4 linked regions of the Rattus norvegicus genome follow. The protein of the gene in region 1 interacts with the protein of each later gene in a pairwise test. Links are inferred from orthologs where the notes say so. Each region holds a gene or a part of one and is shown in the gene's direction. Other genes may lie near its edges. The genes, in order: Vasp, Abi2, Zyx and Trim9.

Region 1 (5,519 bases):
TGGGGTACAGATGCCCTGTGTGCACAGGTATGTGGAGATTAGAGGCTGGCTTCAGGAATATCTTCCTTGATTGTTCTAGCCAGTGAGGTGCAGCAATCAGCCATGTCCTGCTGCCTCCAGTGCTGCTGATGTTAAGAGATGTACTTTCATGTGGATACTGGGGACTCCATACCCAGTCCTAATGATCATAGAACAGGCACTTCACAGTCTGAGTCTCTCCAGCCCTGCTAAAGGAGACTTTTATAGGAAAGAAATTTGCTAGCTTTTGCCTTAGAGAAGGCAGTATAGAGTTTCACTCTTCCCGTTTCACAGATGGGCAAACAGAGGAAAACTTTGAGGCCAAGAGCACACGCAACGTGGCTCTCCTTTAGTTGGATAACTGTTGTTCTAGCTTGGCCTTGTTGAGAACCCAAAAGCCGATACAAATCTGAGCTTGTTCCAGTCTTGTTCCAGTGCACTCAGACCCTGGAGGGGCTCGAGGAATTACAGCCCAGGCCAGAGGTTTTCAACCTGCAGATCGTGACTTCTCAGGGGATCAGAGGACCCGTCCACGGGGGTCACCTAAGACCATCGGAAACTACAGATATTTACATCACGATTCATAACAGTAGCAGGGTTACAGTTATGAAGTGGCGATGAGAATAGTTTTATGGTTGGGAGGTTCACCACAACATGAGGACCTGTATTAAAGGGTCGCAGTATTAGGAAGGTTCAGAAACCACTGTCTTCGATGGATTTGTGTGTGGTTTTGTTTTGCTGTTTTTATTGTTACGCTGCCACATCTGGCCCATTTGTGGTTTTAATTTTTAAAAAAAAATTTACTTGTATTATTTTCAGCTATATAAGTGTGTGGAGGTGGTGGGCATGCGCGTATGAACATAATGCTATAATTTCAGGCAGTTGTTAGCCCTGTGAGTGTTGGGAATTGAACTTAGGTCCTCTGCAAAAGTAGCAAGTATTTTTTTTTAACTGCTGACCCATTTCTATTTGTGTTCTTAAATATATAAGATGACATTAAAGTCACCCTGTAGCCTAGGCTGGCCTCAAACTCGAGATCCTCCTGCCTCAGCCTCCGGGTTTGTGGCAGGACAACTAGTGTACTAGATTTTTCAGTGCAGAATTAAGTGTTTGGCCTGAAGGATGAGGTTTTTGCAAGGCCAACAGGGAGCCAGCATACCATCCAGGAAACAGACTGGCCAAAGGCCACGTGGATTGATTCTCCGTAAGTTTGGGGGGGGGGACCCAAACAAGACGATCATAAGCTAAACCCATTCCCTGTCTCTGTGCCTTAGTTTCTCCATCTGTAAGTCAGGAACTGATGTTTTCTGAGAGTTAACGCCTTTTACCCTGCCAGGTGGAGCTCTACGGGAGGGGCGTGTCCGCATGATGATGTAACTCTGGGCGGGGCCTATGGGTCCCACTGCGGAAGGCTTGGAGGGAGGTTGGGCTGACTCTGCCCCGACGTGTTTGCGTGGAAGGGGCTCCAGGGAGGGTCTTCGAGCCTCTGAGCCTGCGGGATTCTTGGGACGATCCTACTATCCTCTGTGGGCAAAACTAAGCCATAGCTGGGCACGCGTGGGAAGCAGATCGGGGTCCCACCTCCAACCCTTCACTCCTAGTCTATCCTCCACCTTCTTCACCCCCGCCCCCACCCCAGCCGCGACCCGGCGGCGGTGAGTCAGCGGCCCGTCGCACCCCCTCGCTCACTTCCTCCACACCTTCCCCGGAGGGTGGGGGGCGGCGAGGGGTGGGGCCCGACCTGAGAAGAGAGATCTGGGGAACAGAGGATGTACGGAAGTGTTACTTAAAGGTGGAAATTAATGAGATCCTTTGCTTAACCAGAAGAACCCCCGCCCTCCATAAAAACTGAACAGAAGTCCACCGAGCGAGTTGGAATGGAGAACTGGCACCCCCAGATCTCTACTAAAGAATTCCATAGTAGAGACAGCTAGAGATCAAAGAATGGCCCCTTCCCTTCCAACAAGCTTCCCCCTCCAACTCGGGAGTGAGGCCCAGGGTGCACCCCCACGCCACAAGACTGAGAGGAAGGAGTGCAATTGCGGAAGACCTAGGTTCCGCGTTGCCTTTTAAACGGTCTCCATCCCCCGCCTGGAGGCGTCCACGGCCCCTTTAAGGCGCAGGGCATTGTGGGTATGGGGAGTGGAATTTTGGAACGAAATGTAGCAAAGAGAGTACAGTAGTAAGAGTAACCGCGTAGGTGCTGCCGGCTGAGGGGGTGCGCCGGCGAGGTTCGGACGCTGCACCCCGCTTTCCATCGCAGGGGATCCCAGCACATCAGAGCACCGGAGGGAGGAGGCGCCTGAGCACCCGCCCGGGCCCGGTCCACGTTCTCCCCAGGAAGCTGGACTCTATGGGGCGGGACCCCGAGAGAGACTGAGCAGAACCTGGAGCCAGCCCCGCACCCCTGCACTTCCAATCAGGGGCGCCCCGGGAGCACTCCCCGTGGGCGCGCCGCCTGCCCTCTGCGCAGCCATGAGGTGAGCCCCGAACCCTCCAGCCGGGTCCCAGCCGGGACCCGGCTTCGCGCCCCGCCTTTGTCCCCCTCCCCCCAGCTCGTTCGGGGCTGGATTTAGGGGACACAGCGCTTTGAGCGTCCCAGATCTGGGCCGATGTCTCTTGGAGCGATCTCTAAATATCGACACCCCGTTTCTCCACACTACTCCCTAAAGGCTTGGGGCGGTGCCGGCTGAGGTTCTCTTGATGGCTTTCAGGTTTAGGGGCGCTCTCGGGACTCAGAATTTGAAGACTTTTGGGGGGAGCACCTCCGAGTTCGCAGATAAGTAGAACGTCGCAGGGATGAACTGGTATAAGTGGGCTCAGAGTTACTGCCCCCAAACTCAAAACCAGGTGGGAGGCTGGCTTGAGAACCCGAGCCCTGAAACTCTGAGTCTCGGGTTGTGGTCTTCGGACCCTTGCGTCTGGGGCACTGGATGAGAGTCCCAGAGTGGAACCGCGGTCCTTAACTTTGGGGGTACTTCTTGATGTCCCAAAATTTGGTGGACACGGAGGTTCTCTGGTGGAGGGGTTCTTGAGACTCTGACCCACGGGGCCCAGAGGGTCTGGATGGGACTCTTCTCCCCTTAGGCACCCAGGTTGGGTGGGTCCTAGGACCCGGGAGCACTCCAGGCCCAGGGCGGCTCCTGGCCCCCGGGCCAGAGGACGGTTCTAGTTCCACCCCCACCCCCTAACCTGGTGGCCTGTGAGGGAGGGGGCGCGGCAGCTGGGGGAGGGGGGGCCTTTGTCTTCCTGACTCACCTGTCGAGACAGCTGGTGTGGGGGGCGGGCCCCCGAGTGAGCACTGTGGCCAGCTGCTTTTCCCCACACCACGGCCCCTCCCCTTGGGCTCAATGTCGCCGGGTGTCACCCCCCTTCCCCAAGCCGTGGGATTGGAGGAGGGGGCGCTGGAAAGCGTCAAGGTCATAGCCTTCTCCCTCAGGGACCCAGGCTTACCCGCTTCTTTCAGCTCTCTTCCCAGGAATTTAATCCTGTGGGTGAGGGGGACTCAGAGATTTTTTTTTTTTTTAATGTCTTCTCTGGGACCTGCCCTGAACTCCTGGGCTCACCTGAGGGTGGGGCCTGGGCTGGTAGAGGCCTCCCCTCCTCTCAGCCCCAGCCCCCCCATAATCTCTCCCTTGGGGCCACATCTTGACAATACTATCTCCCTTCCTCCACTTTGGCTGGGACTTCCTGCCCCAAAGCCCCTGGTTAGAGGAGGAGTCTCCTGGGGACAGTTTGGGCTTAACCCCCCATGTGCACATCCTTCAGTCTTGCCCTCTGACATCTAGGTGACATTCTTCTCTAGGGCCCTGAGCTAGGACCCCTCCCTCTTTCCCTCCCTCCCAAGTTTGTCCCTTGGCATGTGGGAGTGTTAGCGTCTGGAGCTAGAAGGGGGACATCGAGACACCCTGGAGACTTCCTGCCTGGCCTTTCCTCCCCCGTGGGAGCTCTGTCCCCCTAAAGGGGGTCAGTTCCTCCACTACCCCCCTCCTCTCTTGCTGCCCCCAGCCCCGCCCCTCCCCCACCCGTTTCCGGTCCCAGGCCCGGTGGAAGGCGGATGGCGGATGTCCGAGTTAGTGCCGCCTCACTCGCTGAGACCGTAAAAGGGCAGGAGCAACGTCTAGGCCGGCCCCTTACACCCCCACCCCCAGTCCCCGTCCTTCTGCAGCCCGTCCCCCTCTGGCTGTGGCCAGGGCCAGACCTCCCTCCCCTGAGGGTAGGCACAACTTGAACTGAAGGGTAGGCACAACTTGAACTGAACGAGCCCCCACCCTCTTAGGAGAGGGTCTCCCTCGTCCTTGGTCACTTGCTTGGCTGTGTCACTTCTCCAAGGACAGCTAGGATTCAGAGAGACACAGAGACAGACAGACCCATTCCTTATTCCTTGCTGGGTAAACTGAGCCCCACCCCCCCAGACTTTGAAGCTTGGGTCCAGTGCCCTCAGAGGTTCTTATGCTGTGGTGGGGAAGGGGGCAGGACTGGTTTGACTGGGGACAGCCCTGTGGGGAGTGGGAAGGGAGGTGGTGATTGAGATGGAAAATTACAAGATACAGTTCTTTTTCTCCCAGTTTGACAAATATTTGCCGAGTGTCTGCTGCATCCGGGAGCTGGGAAAAGGCAGAGAAGGGGTCAGAGGTCTGAGGGCTCTTGGGCAGAATTCTGAAAGCTTCACTCCTTTCCTCTTGCAATAACGCTAGCTGCGGTTGTTATTTTCTTTCCCTTTTAAGTGATGTAGCGGGTTCAGTCACACATCTTCTTTCCATTTTCATCTCCACGGCAGTTAAGGGCAATGAAAGTACAAACTTGTGCCCCTGGTCTTACCCCCACTTTACAGGTAGTAAAACTGAGGCTCAGCAATGTTAAGGAAATGGCCTGTTAAAGTTTAATGGTTTGGGAGTATGATGTGGTGACTCATGCCTGTAACGCAGTACTTAGGAGGTGAATGCAGGAGGACCAGGAGCTGGAGGCCAGCTTGGGTTATTGAGTCCCAGTTTCAAAAATGTATAAAAATCAATTTAGCGGTGGTAAGGTTTGAATTTGTACCTAGGATTGTCTAAGTCTAGTAATATTACAAAAAGAAAAAACTAGAGCTGTCTATGTTTTTTACTTACCATTACCATTCCTCCACCCACCCACCCAATAAGGTCATCTTCTGCTACTTGGCAAGTTGGAGGCCAGTCTGGGCTGCATTCTAGGCCACCCCGGACTATTCTGCTTCAGAGACTTAAGAGTTCATGGTGTGTGTGTGTGTGTGTGTGTGTGTGTGTGTCTGTGTCTGTGTCTGTGTCTGTGTCTGTGTGTGTGTGTGTGTCACGAGTTTAATGGTGCAAGGAGATGGTGGGGTAAGGCTGGGGGTGGGTAGCAGTAGAGGGAACTGCCAGTATTTGGCCACCTCTGTCCCCAGAGGCTTCCTCCCTCTTAGTTCCCTCCAGCTGCCCAGGTGGAGTTTATCAGCTGCAGGGTTGTGGGTTCGGGACTCAGTGTGTTGGGAACTCCCCGGC
Region 2 (5,478 bases), on another chromosome or scaffold:
TTTTAACATTAAAAAATTCTTTAAGGGGCTGGAGAGATGGCTCAGCGGTTAAGAGCACTGACTGCTCTTCCAGAGGTCTTGAGTTCAAATCCCAGCAACCACATGGTGGCTCACAACCATCTGTACTGCAATCCCACACCCTCTTCTGGTGTGTCTGAGGATACCAACAGTGTACTTATATACATTACATAAATAAATCTTTAAAAAATTCTTTAAAAGTTTTTTTTTTATTTATGTGTGTGTTTCTATGTGAGAATATGCCACATGAGTCCACCAGTGGATGCCAGAGCAGGGTGTTGGATCTCCTGGAGCTAGGGTTAAGGGCTATTGTGAACAGTATGACAGGGATGTTAGGAACCAAACTCTGGTCCTCTGGAAGAGCAGTTCATGCTCTTAACTACTGAGCCATTTCTCCAGCCCAACACAGGTTTTTGATCTACTGAAGTTTGTCTAAGAGTCTGATCTGAAGTTTGGAGTTTGTTTTCTTCAGCTGTTTGTACTTTCATTTCCTGAACTAAGTGTATGTGCCCTATACATAACTATCTCCCTATATACTCTTTAGGTTTCTCTTCTTTCCCCTCCAGCTCTCCCTTTTGTTTTTCACAAGCTTCTCACACTTAGAACATTCACGCTAAGACAGGTGTCTAAAGTGGTCAACAATAGATCCAGCTGGACCATATCATCATTTAAAAATACTGTTTTAGGCTCTGCTACAAAAGCTCACACACACTGGTAATGTATTTATCATAAAGCTAATGTAACAACACAGGGTTTACTCCACAATTGTGGGGCAATCATATTTATGAAAAAAGATTAGATATACAGATTACAAGATCAGAATGAACTACCTTGAATTTTTGTAGTACTTAATCTGAAAAACGCACATTTGTCAATGTGTGTTTTTTAATTTTATTCATGCGACAACCATGTGAATAAAGAAATTAGTACCAGCAAAGCTACCATCGAAATTTTGAAAAAAGTCAAGTGAGAAGGAGGCCCAGGCTGGGCAACTACAACTTGTAGCTGTAATTCTAGCCAGCTCAGTCTACACTGGAGATCATGCCAAGAAGTGGGGACAGGGGGAGGAAGGGAATGAATGAATGAATGAATTGGTTTGGGATTAGGTAACAGTAATTTGTAAAGAAGACGATGAGGTCCAAGGTGGCATTTAGAGCTGCTTGGAAGTTCAGTGGCTCTGCCTGTTCTGATGAGGTGTTATATTTCACAGAGCTTGTGAAGGGGCTGTGTCCTCTCCCTAGGCCTCCACAGGGGCCTGGAAAGCTTCCTTAGGCAGATGACCTCCACAGGGTTCCCGCCCCGGGTGCAGCGCAGAGGTGAAGATGGGGGGCGGCGGCGGGAAGCAGCAGTGGGCAGCGGGAAGCAGCAGGGAGCGGCGGCCCATTCCCGCCCGGCTAACAAAGGCTACTGAGGACTCCCAGAGCCTGGAAGGCCGCGCGGGGCCGAAGGGTTAACCGGGAGCCCCGCTCCCGCGCGCATCCCGGCCCCCGCCCTCCCGTCGCTAGGAGACGCCGGAAGTGGGGGAGGGGCGGCGCGGGTGGGAATCTTTTTCGGGCGCTCGGGGGCGGAGGGAGGGGAGCGCGCGTGCGCGCGCCCGTCCGTTCGCCCGTCGCCGCGGTGACCGTCCTCGCGGCCTGTCGGCTCGCGCCCCGCCTCCGTTCCCGCCGCCCCCTCCCCTGTCGCGCGCCGTGGGGGGTGCAGCTCGCTCCTCCCGATTCCCGCCGCGTTCGCCGCTGCTCCTCCTCTCCCGGGCGTCGCGGCCGCTGCCTCTGCGGGCTGTATGAGGAGGAGTAGGAGGAGGAGGAGGAGGAAGAGGAGGATGTGAAGATGGCGGAGCTGCAGATGCTGCTGGAAGAGGAAATCCCGGGGGGCCGCCGGGCTCTCTTCGACAGCTACACGAATCTGGAGCGGGTGGCCGACTACTGCGAGAACAACTACATCCAGGTGCGACGCGGCCCCTCGCGCGGCGCGGCGCGATAGGACGTGGGGTGTGAGGGGCGCGCGGGGTGACGGCGGGCTGAGGAGGCCGCGCGGTACTAGGTCCCGGGAGCGGCGCCGGGGTGGAGACGGGGCGAGGGCGGCGGCGGCTGGAGGAAACGGGGTCCGCAGAAGGCCCCAGCAGCCCCGTGCGAGTCCCCAGTGCGGTGCGGTGCCGTGCGGTGCGGTGCGTGGCGTCCCGCCCCCTCGCCTCTGCCCCGTCGCCCCCGCTGTCCTCTCCTGTCAGTGTTCCGGATGGCGGGGGAGGTGGAGAGTGGCATTTTCTGTATAACGGAATCTTGCTGGATGGCAGGCTTGTGTGGATCACACAAATTCCGAGGGATCTTTTTTGAAGGGGTCCTATTCCTGCAAACTGAAATGCCTCACTTCTCCATTCCTGCGAATGTACCCTGAAGACAAAACAAAAATTCTTAACCCTTAAGTTTAAACTTAGGTTGTAAAGGGGACATGGTGGAAAGGCTGTCTCTTATTGCAAGTTAATACCATTTTTTTTTTCTTCCCTGTGGGAAACTGATAATGAGCTGCTTTTCCTTCCCAGTTCCCGTTAGAATAGGTGATTTTCCTTTGGGAAAAAGAACTATGACTATTTCCATAAAGAATCAGGGAAACGAACCACATGGTTTAGGTTTTTTTCCCCATGATGGTTGGTTTGGCACAGGGACTCCTCTGTGTGTGTGTGTGTGTGTGTGTGTGTGTGTGTGTGTGTGTGTGTGTGTAGGAAGGTGAGGAGGGGGGCGGGGCATTGGTGAGATGAGAACCAGCTGGTCATGGGATAAATGTAAAAATTTTGTGGATTAAAACAACACTTTAAAAATTAACTCATGGTTTGCAAATCTAGTATCTCGTTTTCTGTAGGGCTTATACTGAATTACAGGTTGTGCCTACATTTTTTTTCCCCACTCCCATTTAAATTCTTTGGATAAAGTGGAATGTAAGCATGGTGTTAAACGATTACCCATATTTTAATGTTCTTGTTCCTACCTCCGTCTCTGCAGGTCTTCTTAACAACAGTTGTATTGGAAAACATTCTCAAATCTTACTATGAATAAAAAAAAAAAAGAACCAGATGCTGGAATTTATAGGTTCTTAAGATTTTTGAGGACCATGTTGTTAAAGAAAATGTGCTTAGATTTTATTTGGTTATAAATGTACTGAGTTCTATTATGTTGTAAGCATTTGGAGGTTTTTTTTGCATTTTTATTAGATATTTTATGTATTTATATTTCAAATGTGGCCCCCTTTCCAGTGTTGTAAACATTTGTATTGAGAGTGAATCAGACATAATTGAATCTTCTCCCCTTAAAGAAGTGGTGGAAAGTGTGTGTTCAGTAGAAAGGGTGTGTGTCTTTGGTCAAAGATAGACCACAGTCCCTCACAAATGTCTGTCAGATCATTTACTAATACAGAGCTATGTAGGAAGTATTCAAAAGTTTTATCGCTTGATTTCCAGTCTTCTTTGGCCCAGAACTGTCGGTGGTGGTACACCCCTAAACTCTTAAGGGGTTTATGATATAGTTCAAGAGACAGATCTGTGAGTGAATCCATAGTAATACGATGATGTGCTATCAGCCCTTCTTGTTGGAGAAAGAAATAGTCTTTCTTTTTCTTGTCATTCCCAAAGTGTAACAACTACTTAACATGGCATTTACATTTTATTAGATAGTGTAAGTAATGTATAGATTTGAACTATGGGGAGGATGTGTAATAGATTGAATGTAAATATTATGCCATTATATGTAAAGGACTTCACCATCCAAAGATGGGGTTGGAGTGGGGATTGGGGTGGAGCAGAAGTGTGTCCTAGAACTAATCCCTATTGTATACTGAGGAACAAGAATAGTTAATTTATACTTGGTAGGGAATTGTGCGCAGAAAGGTGATGCTTATTATTTTCAGGGAGTCACAGCTGCTAGGAGAGGCAAAACCTAAACGACCCAAAGGGCTTATTCTGATGCCTTGCATAGCATATTATGAGAAAGTCTTGTCTGTCAGAAGAGAAATTGGGGAATGGAAAAGTGATTAGATTGCAATTGTGGCCAACTAATAAGAAAAAGGTTTTTGAAAGATGAATGTTACCATAATTTGAGATTATAATGCCACATAAAGGGAAAGTACATGAATGGATAAAGTGGAGAGGTGGAAGAGATCACTTTTGTCTTAGCATTTATAATTCTAGCCTAAAGAGTAACAAAGCTCGTGTGTTATTTATACGTTTTCAATTTTGGTGTTGGGGGCTGTTTTGTGCATGCTGAGAATACAGGCTACCACTGAATTATGTTCCTAACCCACTGTAAAATTACAAATACTTATTTTTTAGAAATGGATTTTGAATTTTAAGCCATCTGTTATTTTAAATTCAGTATGTGAGGTAGAGTTTACATATTATTATTTCTTAGGTCGTCCTCCGTTGTGGGAGTCACTGGATTTATTACTGCAGTACTTTCTCAGGATGATATTTCTTACATGATTTGTTTGTAGTACATTGATAAATAAAACTGGTGATAGTTGATTTGTGCAGTGCCAGCTGTACATTTGGCTGGTTCTTGTGATGGAAGGACTGACCAGCAAGGGTCCTGATGCTGTCTGTGACCCTGTAATACATGAAAGTTAATTGGCAGGATCACTGAGCAAATGGTCAATTAATCTTTTTATGGTGTTGTTGTGTCTTAGTTTCTAGAAGTAGTCAACTAAACCAACAGGATTTTATTGTATGGAACTGTAACTTTTTTTGGGAGCGGGAGGAGATTGAGACAGGATTTCTCTGTATAGTCTTGGTTGTCCTGAAACTAGCTCTGTAGACCATGCTGGTCCTGAACTCAAAGAGAGTACCCTTGCCTCTGCCTCTTGAGTGCTGGCATTAAAGGGGTGGCCACCAACAAGCAGCTGAAATGGAACTTTTAAGGCAAAAAATAATATATGTTGATGGCATATAATTGTTGTTATTAAGTGTTAAGTATCTGTTTTTTTTGTTTAGGAAATAAACTAAGTAAATAAATATACACTAATTGTTAATTATAATTAGTGTGAGATTTGAGCAAAAGGAAAGGAACTCAGAGATACTCCAGATAGAGAAATGTACATAAATGTAAATATTTACTTTCTAGGATACAGTGAAGTTAATATTGGAATTTTAAATGTTATGATGGTCAATAAAGTCTTAAGAGTTTTATAAACTTCTGGGAAACATAGGCAAATTGCTTTTCTAAAGTGTGATGACAAAAATTATGACTATAGTTTGTTCGCTAATACTTTTAAAGATGATTTTGTTGTTTGTTCCTCGAGACTATGTTCCCTGTGTTGTCTGTGCCTGACTTGAACTTGTGTTCTTCCTGCTTTTGGGGACTAAATGCAGGTGTTGGCTATTCTTAGCTTGATTGTTATTTCTTGATGGTGAAAATTACTTAGTAGGGGCTGAGGAGATGGTTCAGTGGTTGTACTTGCTGTACAACCAACCATGCATGA
Region 3 (5,481 bases), on another chromosome or scaffold:
CAACACGGGCATATTTGGAAGGATGCTGACGACTCGGTCTGAGAAGCCCAAGAAACAATCTCTAACACGCAGAATAAATCCAGTGTCAAATTTCTAACAGATCTTCATAGGAACAGGCCTAGGACCAGCTCGTGCATGTTAGGATGTGTATACCTGAGCACTTTTGTGTCATACATGGTCACACATGCAACGCAAAACACTGGTGATGGAAACATTAAGATGACGGAGAAAAGTGTGGGGCCTGGAACGATGATGAATGCACAGTCATAGATATGACTCAAGACATAAGGTTGACGGAAGGAAAAGGGCATTGAATCAACCAAGACACATTAAACTTGTCTGGCAAACTGGAAGGGAGCATGTGAGGGAAAGCTGCCTAGGTTAACTGGCTGGAAATTTCCGTTCTTTTCCAGCTTGGGACTTGCATGGAGGTAATTCTGTGAACTATATAGAATTTTCAGACATGGCATGCTGTTTATTCCTTCACATAAGGAAGCAGGCAAATGAATTAGATGCCATCCCTTTTACAGTCGAGGCAATGAAACCGAATGAAGAAACGTGTCCGTTGGGTTGGAAACTGGGCTCCCTGGCCTCACTCTGTACTGCATCTCTGCCAAAGGGGTTAATTAACTCGGACCTAAGTGCGCCCCCGGGGCCATCTTTTCAAATAACATACCCAGTTTCTCATCCTAAGTTCCTGGGGTTAGTTTGCATGCCCCTAAAGCACAGTTCAAGGTTTCTGGACCGTAGGGTGCAATAGATGGGGAGCGCCAAGGTTTGGAAACTCAGAAGACAGTGAGAACCTCAGCCAGGGATGACGGTAAAACCAAAGGAAGCACCGGAGGGTTGGATATTGGACTAGAGACTCTAACGCGTAACTCTATAATTTGGACGAAGTTTCCGTGTATAATTTTACAAAAAGAAAAGAAAAAGAAAAAAAAGAAGGGAAGGAAAAGAAAAGGAAGATTAAGACAGTAAGAAAAGCAGACATCAGCTTTGTCAGACTTCTTTCATGTAGCCTGGGGCACAGTCTCAGGCTGAGGAATCCGGTTGGACCAGTGGGGGGCTCCACCGAGCTTTGTCCTGGGGGCCGCTGACAACCCAAATACTCTTGAGGGGCTGGGAAAGGCTTGAAGAGATCCTCAAGGACTGGTCCCCGGAGGCTATTTGGGTCTTTCTAGGTTGTTAGACCGCTCACCCTGACTTCGCCCTTGTACCTTCATTCCTGGACTCAAAGCACTGGACACTCTCCCCGGGGCAACAAATTTGCAGGCGGGTCTAGCTCTAAGCGAATTCCTAGAAGCCTTAAGAGGCAGTTTAGCTCAGGAAGTTAGCATTCCCCTAGAGCGCTTAGGCTCCTACTCACACACTACTGCGTTACAGAAGGCCGGCCTAGGAGCCGGGTGCCAGCAGAGCGAACGTCCCCTCACCATCCCCGCCCACCCACGAGTAGGGTCCCATCTCAGTCCTACGTTCCGGGACTGACCACAGGACACGTGGGACGCGGAGCTGAAGCTGCAGGGAGGGGCGGGGTCAGTCAATGGCAGGCAGGCCCGGGAAGCGGGACTGAGCAGCTTCGGGACCTCTGGGATACTCGCCGGCCTGCACAGCCCCGGAGTGCGGACGGTGAGTCAGTTCTCCAGCACTCGCGGGTCGGGAGGGGGGAGGGGGGTAGGTGGCAGGTCAGGAAATGACATCAGAGGCCTGTGCTGGGGAAGGGTGGTCTGTGCCCGGCGGGGGCGGTGATGCGTAGGGAGGCCGCAGGCGGACCTTTGCAGAGCCTGCGGCCCAGGGCAGGACCCGGGCCCCTTCCTGGGGGAGTTTCCTGCCCGGCCCTCCCTCCCCGGCCTCTCCCCGCCCCCTCTCCGGGCCGCTCCTTGTATGGTCTGGGCGCCGCTCTCTCCCCGCCCCCTCCCTCCCTTCCCTTGCGCGTCGTCCCTCCCCGCTTGGCTAGAAGCTGCTCCGGACCGGGACGCAGAGTCCGTGGACTCGGCGCCGAGGCGGTCATCCGAGACGCGGCTCTCACGCTCCTGCCCGCGGTGAGGCGCGGGGAGAAGCTCCGCAGTCCCGGGAAGGGGACGCGGGGAGGCGAGGGTGGGGTCACCGAGGGGCTCTTGGACCGAGGAGTGTCAGCCCGGCACCGCTCTGCGTAACCTGACGACCCACCCCCAGCAGCCCGGCCTGACTATGGCGGCCCCCCGCCCGCCTCCCGCGATCTCCGTCTCGGTCTCGGCCCCCGCGTTTTACGCCCCGCAGAAGAAGTTCGCCCCGGTTGTGGCCCCGAAGCCCAAAGTGAATCCTTTCCGGCCTGGGGACAGCGAGTCTCCTGTGGCAGCCGGGGCCCAGAGAGCACAGATGGGCCGGGTGGGCGAGATCCCCCCACCGCCCCCGGAAGGTATGCGGCTGGGATTGGGGGCCCCGATTCTTCTCGGGCGCCAGGTTGGGGGTCGGTGGTTTGGGGAATTTGGGGTTGTCTGGAAAGGCTGTTGTGGAGGGGGCTGGGCTCTGGGTGGCTACCCTGTCCTGAGCAGATGTTCTTACCTCATCTTGGAGCTCCTGGCTAGGAGCCAGAACCCTTGGGACTGTTCCAAGACTCCCGCCTGGGGGTAGGAGGCGGGAATGTGGGCCAGGAATCTTCCCCTCTGGATCCGTTCTCTGAAGTGTAACGGGAGCTGCACGGTTCTTCAACCTAGCCCGTTCTCACTCGACCTGCTTCGCCCAGGGCATCCTGAGCCCCTGTTATGGTCTGCACACGCTCTTGGGATGCAGAAAAAGAGTTCTTGGATTAGGGGGTTAAAACAGTAGGCTGAGAGAAGGAACGAGGGCCGGTACTGATAGCCTTCTCTCTCCTTCCTACCCAGACTTTCCTTTGCCCCCTCCTCCCGTTATTGGGGAGGGCGACGACTCAGAGGGGGCCCTGGGAGGTGCCTTCCCACCTCCACCTCCCCCGTTGATCGAAGAACCATTCCCCCCTGCTCCTCTGGAGGAGGACATCTTCCCCTCCCCTCCACCTCCACTGGAGGAGGAGGGAGGACCTGAGGCCCCTACCCAGCTCCCACCGCAGGTAGGGAGGGCTTGGAGGGCAGCTTTGCTGGAGATGGGGTGGGGGACGCCTCCATGAGCTGGAGAGGAGTCTTTAACTCTCTCCCGATGGGAGTGGGACGACAAGGGAAGACTGGGATGGGTGCTCTGACCCCTGACCCTCCAGCCCAGGGAGAAAGTGAGCAGTATTGACCTGGAGATCGACTCTCTGTCCTCACTGCTGGATGACATGACCAAGAACGATCCCTTCAAAGCCCGGGTAAGGGGCAGGACAGTAGGAAAGTCTGGGCCTAGAAGGAGAGGAGGGGATACAGGAAGAGATGTCCACCTCCTCTAAGTACATCCCCCCCCTTCTGCTTCTCCTTGCAGGTGTCATCTGGATATGTACCTCCACCAGTTGCTACTCCATTTGTTCCCAAACCTAGTACCAAGCCTGCCCCTGTGGGCACAGCACCCTTACCTCCTTGGAAGGCCCCTTCTAGCTCTCAGCCACCACCTCAGCCGCAGGCCAAGCCTCAGGTCCAGCTCCATGCCCAGCCTCAGGCCAAGCCCCATGTCCAACCCCAGTCTGTGTCTTCCGCTAATACACAGCCCCGAGGTCCCCTTTCTCAGGCTCCAACTCCAGCACCTAAGTTTGCTCCAGTGGCACCTAAATTTACTCCCGTGGCTTCCAAATTCAGCCCTGGTGCTCCAAGTGGACCTGGGCCACAGCCCAGTCAAAAATCGGTGCCTCTGGAAGCTCCTTCTTCTGTGGGCACAGGCTCCCCCCAGCCCCCTAGCTTCACCTATGCTCAGCAGAAGGAGAAGCCCCTAGTTCAAGAGAAGCAGCACCCACTGCCTCCACCAGCTCAAAACCAAAACCAGGTGAGGAAGCCACAGGCTGAGGCCAGGGGCTGGATGAAATAGGACTGCAGAAAAAAGAGGGCAAGAGGGTGAGGGTGGGGTAGAGAACTAGAGGAGCCAGAGTGGGTGTGGTGATGGGGGAAGTGTAGGGTTATCTGTCCTGGCAGAGAGAAAGTTCTTCTGGAGGAAGTCTGGGACTAGCTGGGGCCTGGGTCAATCGGTACAGCAGCTGGGGTTTAGAAGTAAGAGGATACAACGTTTCCCCTGTGCCTCTGCCCTAGAATGTTAGAGAGGAGAATGAGATCATTAGCCCAACCTTAGTTTTTCCCATTCTTGGGCCTTGACTAAATCCCTAGGCTCCTGGGTTTTCTGAGCACTTCATTGCCTGAGGGCCCATCTAGAGATAAAAGTATAGTCAGCACCAGGAAACACTTGCTGGGCCAGCATCAGCTGAGTGCCAGGCACTGCTCTGTGCTCTGGAGGCTGGGTCTATGGGCTGGAGAGATCTCTCCAACAGGTTCAGTCTTCTGAAGTCACAGGTTCAGGGTAGAATTTCTAGCCTGTTTCTCACAAGTTGTTAGACCCTAGTAAAATTGGGTGAACTTTGAACACACACACACACACACACACACACACACACACACACACACACACACACCACACACCCGTCTTTGAAATAGCTACCCATACCAAACAACGGTGAAGTGCAAGTCAGCTTATCTTCTTAGTCTAGCACATAAGAGCTCAAAATAGAAACAGACAGTACAGTTGTTGCCTGTTAGTTCAGAGAAAGAGATCTTCTGAGTTGAAGGGACTTTCTGGGTATCTGACTGGTAACTGTAAACGTCTGGATGTACTCAGACACAGTGTAGGAATAAGTGTAGCTGGATTCTGATAGCTCAGAATCTGAGTTACAGGGATTTGAAACTATGACCCAGCATGGGGGCTGGCAACTTAGGAACAGCTTCACGAGGTTGGTCTGCCTTCAGGTACTTGAGGACTTGAGAATCCAGAAGGGATTGAGAAGAGGATTAGGTGGATAGAGCTTGTGGAGAATTCCAGGGTACGGATAACACAGGAGGGCTATTTGGAGAACAGAAAGCACAAGGCTCCTAGCAGACAGACTTTGAGCTGTGCTTGAGATGGGTGGAGATTTGTGGCAGAAGCACTAGAGAACAAAATCTCCAGTAGGGAGCTTGTGCGCATTGGAGAATCACTGATGGTGTCTCAGTTGTGTGTGGTTTGGCCAGGAGGACTGGTGAAAAGTAATACTGCAAAGCTTTTCCAGCCGAGGTGCATATTAGAGGTAGGGAGATCTGGGATGCAGGTGAGTTCACTCCTGGGCCACAGTAGTATTAGTTGCAGTGAGAAATAAGATCCATGGATGAGAGCTGTTCCAATGGAAGGGCCTACAGGAGGCTGCAACTGAGAGCAGCTGGGGTGGGCGAACACAAATGCCAGGGAGGCTCAGAGCTGGGTATGTTGAGGAGTAACAATATTACTGACAAAATAGAGAAGTGCAGATGGGGAAATGGTTTGAACGGGAAGAGGAGGGGTCTAGATGTCATTGTGTTGAGCAACAGGCTTCAGGAGCAC
Region 4 (4,878 bases), on another chromosome or scaffold:
ATCCTTCAGAGCAGGAAAAGCAAAAGCCCGCAGTGCATGTACTGATAGAACTGCAGGCTTACAGCAGATCACTTTCCCAGCAAAGGGCGGGGACCACTGGTAGCCAAATTAGAAACCATTCAGTCGTGATACGTATAGCCAACGATACTATAGTCAAAATATGCGGCCCCAGGAAAAATATGCGGTTGCTCACAGCCAAGATGTAACAGGGCTTATGGTTGACTCCTGGGAAGCTAGACTCATGTTACTTTGCAGTAAGCTTTGTCTAGCAAACAGAATCTTCGAATTCCTAAAATGCAGACCTGTTGGATCTCTTCAGGGCTATATTGTAATCATGGACACACGATGCACATCTCACGTTTCCGAGCGTTTCTTTTGGGTTTTATTTTATTCCTTTGGCTCATCCCACATCCCGGAATGAAGAAGGCCACAGCATGTCAGTGCAAAAAGGATGCGGGGACTTCAAGCTCCCTTGAAAAGTGACATTTTTTTTCCTTGTGTTTTCCGTTTCTTCTTGTTTCTCTGTGCACTCCTGGCTTCTCCACATGCTTTGTTATGGAGCCCTCTGCTTGTCTCTAATGTATGGAAATGCTGTTACAGTCTTTGTAATGTATATTGTCTCGAGAATAAAATGAAATGGAATGTGGGGTCTGGGTGTTGGCAGGTGTATTGAATAGCCTGGTTCTAGTTGTATCATTGAATCTTAAATGTACGATGTTGTGTTAAAATTAATGGGAAAAGAGTTCAGAATGTTTGTTTTGTTTTTTTTTTAAAGACTCCAAAAGGCATGATTCATTTTTAAAAAAATCTTGAAAGCCCTATTCAGATTCCACAAATTTACTTCCAAACCTGAATATGGAATTTGGTTTTAAAATTTTTTACATTCCATACTTACTGGGCCCCTATTATTCATACAGAGGAAGCAAAAAGACACTTGGCAGAAATTAAACATAAAATCAACCATGAGCTGGAAGAAAGTGGATGGATCCCAGGATAAAGAAAGCTAAGCAAGAAGGTAGTGCTAACGGTTAAGTCTGTTAACTCGGCCCTCTCCTATAGCAAGTTACCTTCTTAACTCTCGTAAAACCCTACCAAGTCAGTACCTTGTCCTTTCTATGGTTTTAGAAATGAACTTGTAAAGACAATATTAAATTTGGAAACAAAACAAAACAACATGATTCTTTTCCCCCAAAGACTCACATTTCCTGGAGCAGTCCCAGCATGACTCAGAAATTGTAGGCCATGCACCTGAGGACACTCTGAGTCCGAATCATTCTCCTCTGCCTTGATCCAGTGTCTCATCAGAAGGGTGGCCAGCTTTACTGGGAAGAGGAGAGTAGAAAAAGCCTCCCCAAGTTGACTCCTGAGCTCCAAGCCCATATTCTACCCCTACACCAGCCTTCCTCCCCATCCCTCAGGTGAGAATAGGTGCTGTAGCCAAGCAAGTTAAGAAGGAAAGTAAATATCTTCCTTTTTCTAACACTCAGGCCATGCCACTGTTGACTGTGAGGTGTCTTTTCCTAGGTTCCACTCTTCTTCCTCTGTGGACCATTTGCCTTAGGCTCATTCCAACAAACCAAGGGCACATCAGTAAACTGTTGGCACAGAGCAGGCCTATCCCTCCCTGGTGATTTCTTCCACTTCTATTGGGCAAGTTTGTCCTCATCTTTAGAAGAGTTGATCTCCTCAGCTTGCAAGTGTTACTGCACAGAGTTAAGCCAGGAAGAAAATAAAACGCAAGCCGCAGCATTTACAGTCCACAGGACAAAGCTTCTGTCAATATGTGAAAGGACGACCTTTGTGTTTGGAAAGAATGCAAAAGCAATTTATATCCAGAAAAGAAAATGAGCATTTAAAAGGGCTTTGGTTTTGTTTTGTTTTTCTTTTTTCATGAATCAGGCCTTTGGAGACTATATTCGGTTGGTGCTTTCTAAACAAATGCAAATAATATTTATTGACCGGGTTGTCACTTCATAGCCTTGATGTTTAGTATCTTTTTATAGGCTGCAATTTTGAGACACAATCTGCATCTTACTCTCAATTAGGCAAGTATACCTACTGTAATTGTTACCTTCTGCCTATGTGACCGTGATGTTCAATTTCCTTTGCAAAATAAATGGTGGCTTTTGTCATGTCAATAAAATTCTCCAAACGTCATTCTAACTCCATTATAACCGTTTTCAATTTCTTAGAAAAATGCCCGTCTTTTTTTTTTTTTTAACGTATGCCTCAACCCCATCCCCTTTCCTTCTGCATCAGTGCAAACCACTCTTTCTGAGCGGTACATGTCAGTAGAGGCCCAAGCAGGCCTGCTGGTGTTGTGTATGCAATGTTCTCAATGGAGTCCTTGCGGGTATTGTCTATCAAGAGAAACAAGCTTTCTTATCAATGTCAACTGTGCTTCCTATTTCTCTCCCCCATGCCTTTCACCGGAATGACAACAGTTGACATTAAAAAGCTGTTGGCAGGTATGGAACACCATTATTCTCTTACAAAAAGCAGAGCTGAAGTGCATGTGCAGTGACTGCGGGCTCAGTAGTCCATCCGCACTCTCACCCCTCAGAGAACAAAGGACTATCCACTGTAGGAAATATGCAGAAGTTGGGGGACAGCACCCAGTGTCCAATCTGCTTCTGCAATGTATATTACGTGCCAGCTTTAGGAGTAACACTTTTCCATAAATTATAAGAGAAGCAACCCGCCCTACATCCAGGTCACCGCTGCACAAGAAAACTAGTTTATGTTGCTTTGTAGCCTCAAGGCTTGCGAGCAGGTACGAGAGCTGACGAAGTTTCCAACACTTCTGCCTAAGGGTATTTCCTGGTTTCACTCAGTGTGTTCTATCCCTCCTCTGTCTAGGATTGTAGATCTAGCCTCCCCACCCCAGGGTTCCACAGGCGTCCTAGTACACCCCTCACCCTTTATGTCTCTGGTGCACTATCCTGCCAGTCACCAGGTGAAGGGACTTGATGGCACTTCAGTCCCGGATCAGCTGGTTTGGAAGTGCAGTCTGAGCCAGGTAACCTCTGCTGGATCGGTCGTGTGTCCTCTGTCTGTTCCTGGTGCAGAGTATCAACTCCCAGGACGTGCCCCCCCCCATCTGCTTACTTACGGTGACTCTGGCCCCAGATCCTTCCTTCCTGCATGGCAGCATGAGAACGCGACACTGTGTGCCACAGTGCCCGGAGGCATTCTGCAGTGCCAAGGCATTACTAATAACTCACTCCCCGTCTGTCGTCCCCAGTGGCGTGGTTTGCGTTTGACCCCGGCTCGGCACACTCTGACATCATCTTCTCCAATGACAACCTGACAGTGACATGCAGTAGCTACGATGACCGGGTGGTGCTGGGGAAAACTGGCTTCTCCAAGGGCGTCCACTACTGGGAGCTGACCATAGATCGCTATGACAACCACCCTGATCCAGCATTTGGCGTGGCTCGCATCGATGTGATGAAGGATATGATGTTAGGAAAGGACGACAAGGCTTGGGCAATGTATGTGGACAATAACCGGAGCTGGTTCATGCACAACAACTCGCACACCAACAGGTACCCTGCAGCCCCACGCCAAGCCTTCTTCATGGTGGCTTGGGTTGAAGAGGAAGAGCCTAGTCGATAGCCTATTATAGAGACAGCATTAGGAAACAGAGCAGATGATCTCTACTGAGTAGGAGGTCCTGTAGTCTCTTAGCTCAGTCCATTCTACTGTTTTCCACAATGCATAAAGATAGAGTTGTTCTCCTCCCGCTTGGCCCTTCATTGTTAAATTCCACTCAGGTCACAAAAGACATCCCTGGGCCTGTCTTTTATAGACAAACCACCCAAGATTGGAAAACCCAGACCTAGGACTTAACCACAAAAGTGTTTGGGGCCAAGGTACTTCAATTTTTTTTTCTGAATTCTGGTTTGTCAATTCTCCAAATTCATATAATAATATGTTTCCATGCAGGAGAGGTCTGAAGACTACATGAGATGAGATTTGCAAAAATGTCTCCCGTTGGAAGTGCCTGGAAATGGAAGCCATTCTTGTTACTATCATTATCAGCAATACCGCTTCTCAGAATAGAAGCCATTAACTAAACTTGGTGTTAGAGATGCCAGTCCGGAGAGCTCTAAATGAGAAGGATTTGCTTGTTAGTGTGAGAATTAGAGCACCCAGTCTGCTGAAGGGAGAATAGTATCTCCTTAAGCAATGCCCTCTATCAACAAGATATTGACAATTTTAATTCAATATACCCTATAATCTCCCTTTCAATTTGTGGTCTCTTCAGTGGATTTCACTCATCATTTCTGGAGCCAAAGGTGTCTTTTGATGACACTGGTCTGTCTTAATCACCCTCAGGATACATTTCTCTTTGGTGTCTCTGGAAAAAAATTAGTTATGTTCAGTGAAATCAGAGGGAAAGCAGGCCCAGCAAGGGCAGAATAATGACCTCACTCTCTCAGCCTCTCCTGTCAGATCACCACTGATGCTTTGCTAACCAGTAGACTCCTAGAGCTTCCCGGTCCTCGGACATTCTCTGTCCTGTTCCATTCGGTCTGTCTTAGTGGCTATCCCTTGAACTGAGCACCCAAAGCAATTTATCTTGGTATCGAATCCAAGTGGCTACAGAGAGCAATTATCTTCAGCGATCCATACCAGGGGAGACTCCGTTACTCGGTCCCTGATACCATGACCCAAACATCCCTGATTCCATCACCTGTACACTTGTGTTTAGCCCCTTGACTCCAGAGTGGTGGGATAAACAATAGTAACACCATCACACGATGCAGAACAGCACATTTCAGAAGCCGAACACATCTCCTTGCATGCAAACTGAATGTGGCTTGTGCTGTCGCTGACAAACTTGTATATAGCAAGATGTAGTCCTTAAGCCCG

Evidence for each region.
Region 2: the proteins of Vasp (region 1) and Abi2 interact in binary tests that used the Homo sapiens proteins (3 or more experiments, as listed by UniProt). The link is inferred for Rattus norvegicus from reciprocal best matches to the Homo sapiens genes VASP and ABI2.
Region 3: the proteins of Vasp (region 1) and Zyx interact in binary tests that used the Homo sapiens proteins (3 or more experiments, as listed by UniProt). The link is inferred for Rattus norvegicus from reciprocal best matches to the Homo sapiens genes VASP and ZYX.
Region 4: the proteins of Vasp (region 1) and Trim9 interact in binary tests that used the Homo sapiens proteins (3 or more experiments, as listed by UniProt). The two-hybrid records come from large-scale screens. The link is inferred for Rattus norvegicus from reciprocal best matches to the Homo sapiens genes VASP and TRIM9.

Annotation. Positions count from the first base shown.
Region 1 is NC_086019.1:88,049,752-88,055,270, reverse strand, and holds the start of Vasp (vasodilator-stimulated phosphoprotein), read left to right. Parts: upstream 1-2,315; 5' UTR 2,316-2,493; coding exon 2,494-2,498; intron 2,499-2,800; exon of another isoform or gene 2,801-2,817; coding exon of another isoform or gene 2,818-2,825; intron 2,826-5,519. UniProt on the Homo sapiens protein: Ena/VASP proteins are actin-associated proteins involved in a range of processes dependent on cytoskeleton remodeling and cell polarity such as axon guidance, lamellipodial and filopodial dynamics, platelet activation and cell migration.
Region 2 is NC_086027.1:69,319,536-69,325,013, forward strand, and holds the start of Abi2 (abl interactor 2), read left to right. Parts: upstream 1-1,669; 5' UTR 1,670-1,845; coding exon 1,846-1,962; intron 1,963-5,478. UniProt on the Homo sapiens protein: Regulator of actin cytoskeleton dynamics underlying cell motility and adhesion. Functions as a component of the WAVE complex, which activates actin nucleating machinery Arp2/3 to drive lamellipodia formation.
Region 3 is NC_086022.1:72,202,461-72,207,941, forward strand, and holds the start of Zyx (zyxin), read left to right. Parts: upstream 1-2,039; intron 2,040-2,172; exon of another isoform or gene 2,173-2,175; coding exon of another isoform or gene 2,176-2,187; coding exon 2,188-2,395; intron 2,396-2,861; coding exon 2,862-3,064; intron 3,065-3,208; coding exon 3,209-3,301; intron 3,302-3,411; coding exon 3,412-3,906; intron 3,907-5,481. UniProt on the Homo sapiens protein: Adhesion plaque protein. Binds alpha-actinin and the CRP protein. Important for targeting TES and ENA/VASP family members to focal adhesions and for the formation of actin-rich structures.
Region 4 is NC_086024.1:94,497,869-94,502,746, reverse strand, and holds part of Trim9 (E3 ubiquitin-protein ligase TRIM9), read left to right. Parts: intron 1-2,003; coding exon of another isoform or gene 2,004-2,045; intron 2,046-2,444; coding exon of another isoform or gene 2,445-2,468; intron 2,469-3,244; coding exon 3,245-3,548; intron 3,549-4,878. UniProt on the Homo sapiens protein: E3 ubiquitin-protein ligase which ubiquitinates itself in cooperation with an E2 enzyme UBE2D2/UBC4 and serves as a targeting signal for proteasomal degradation.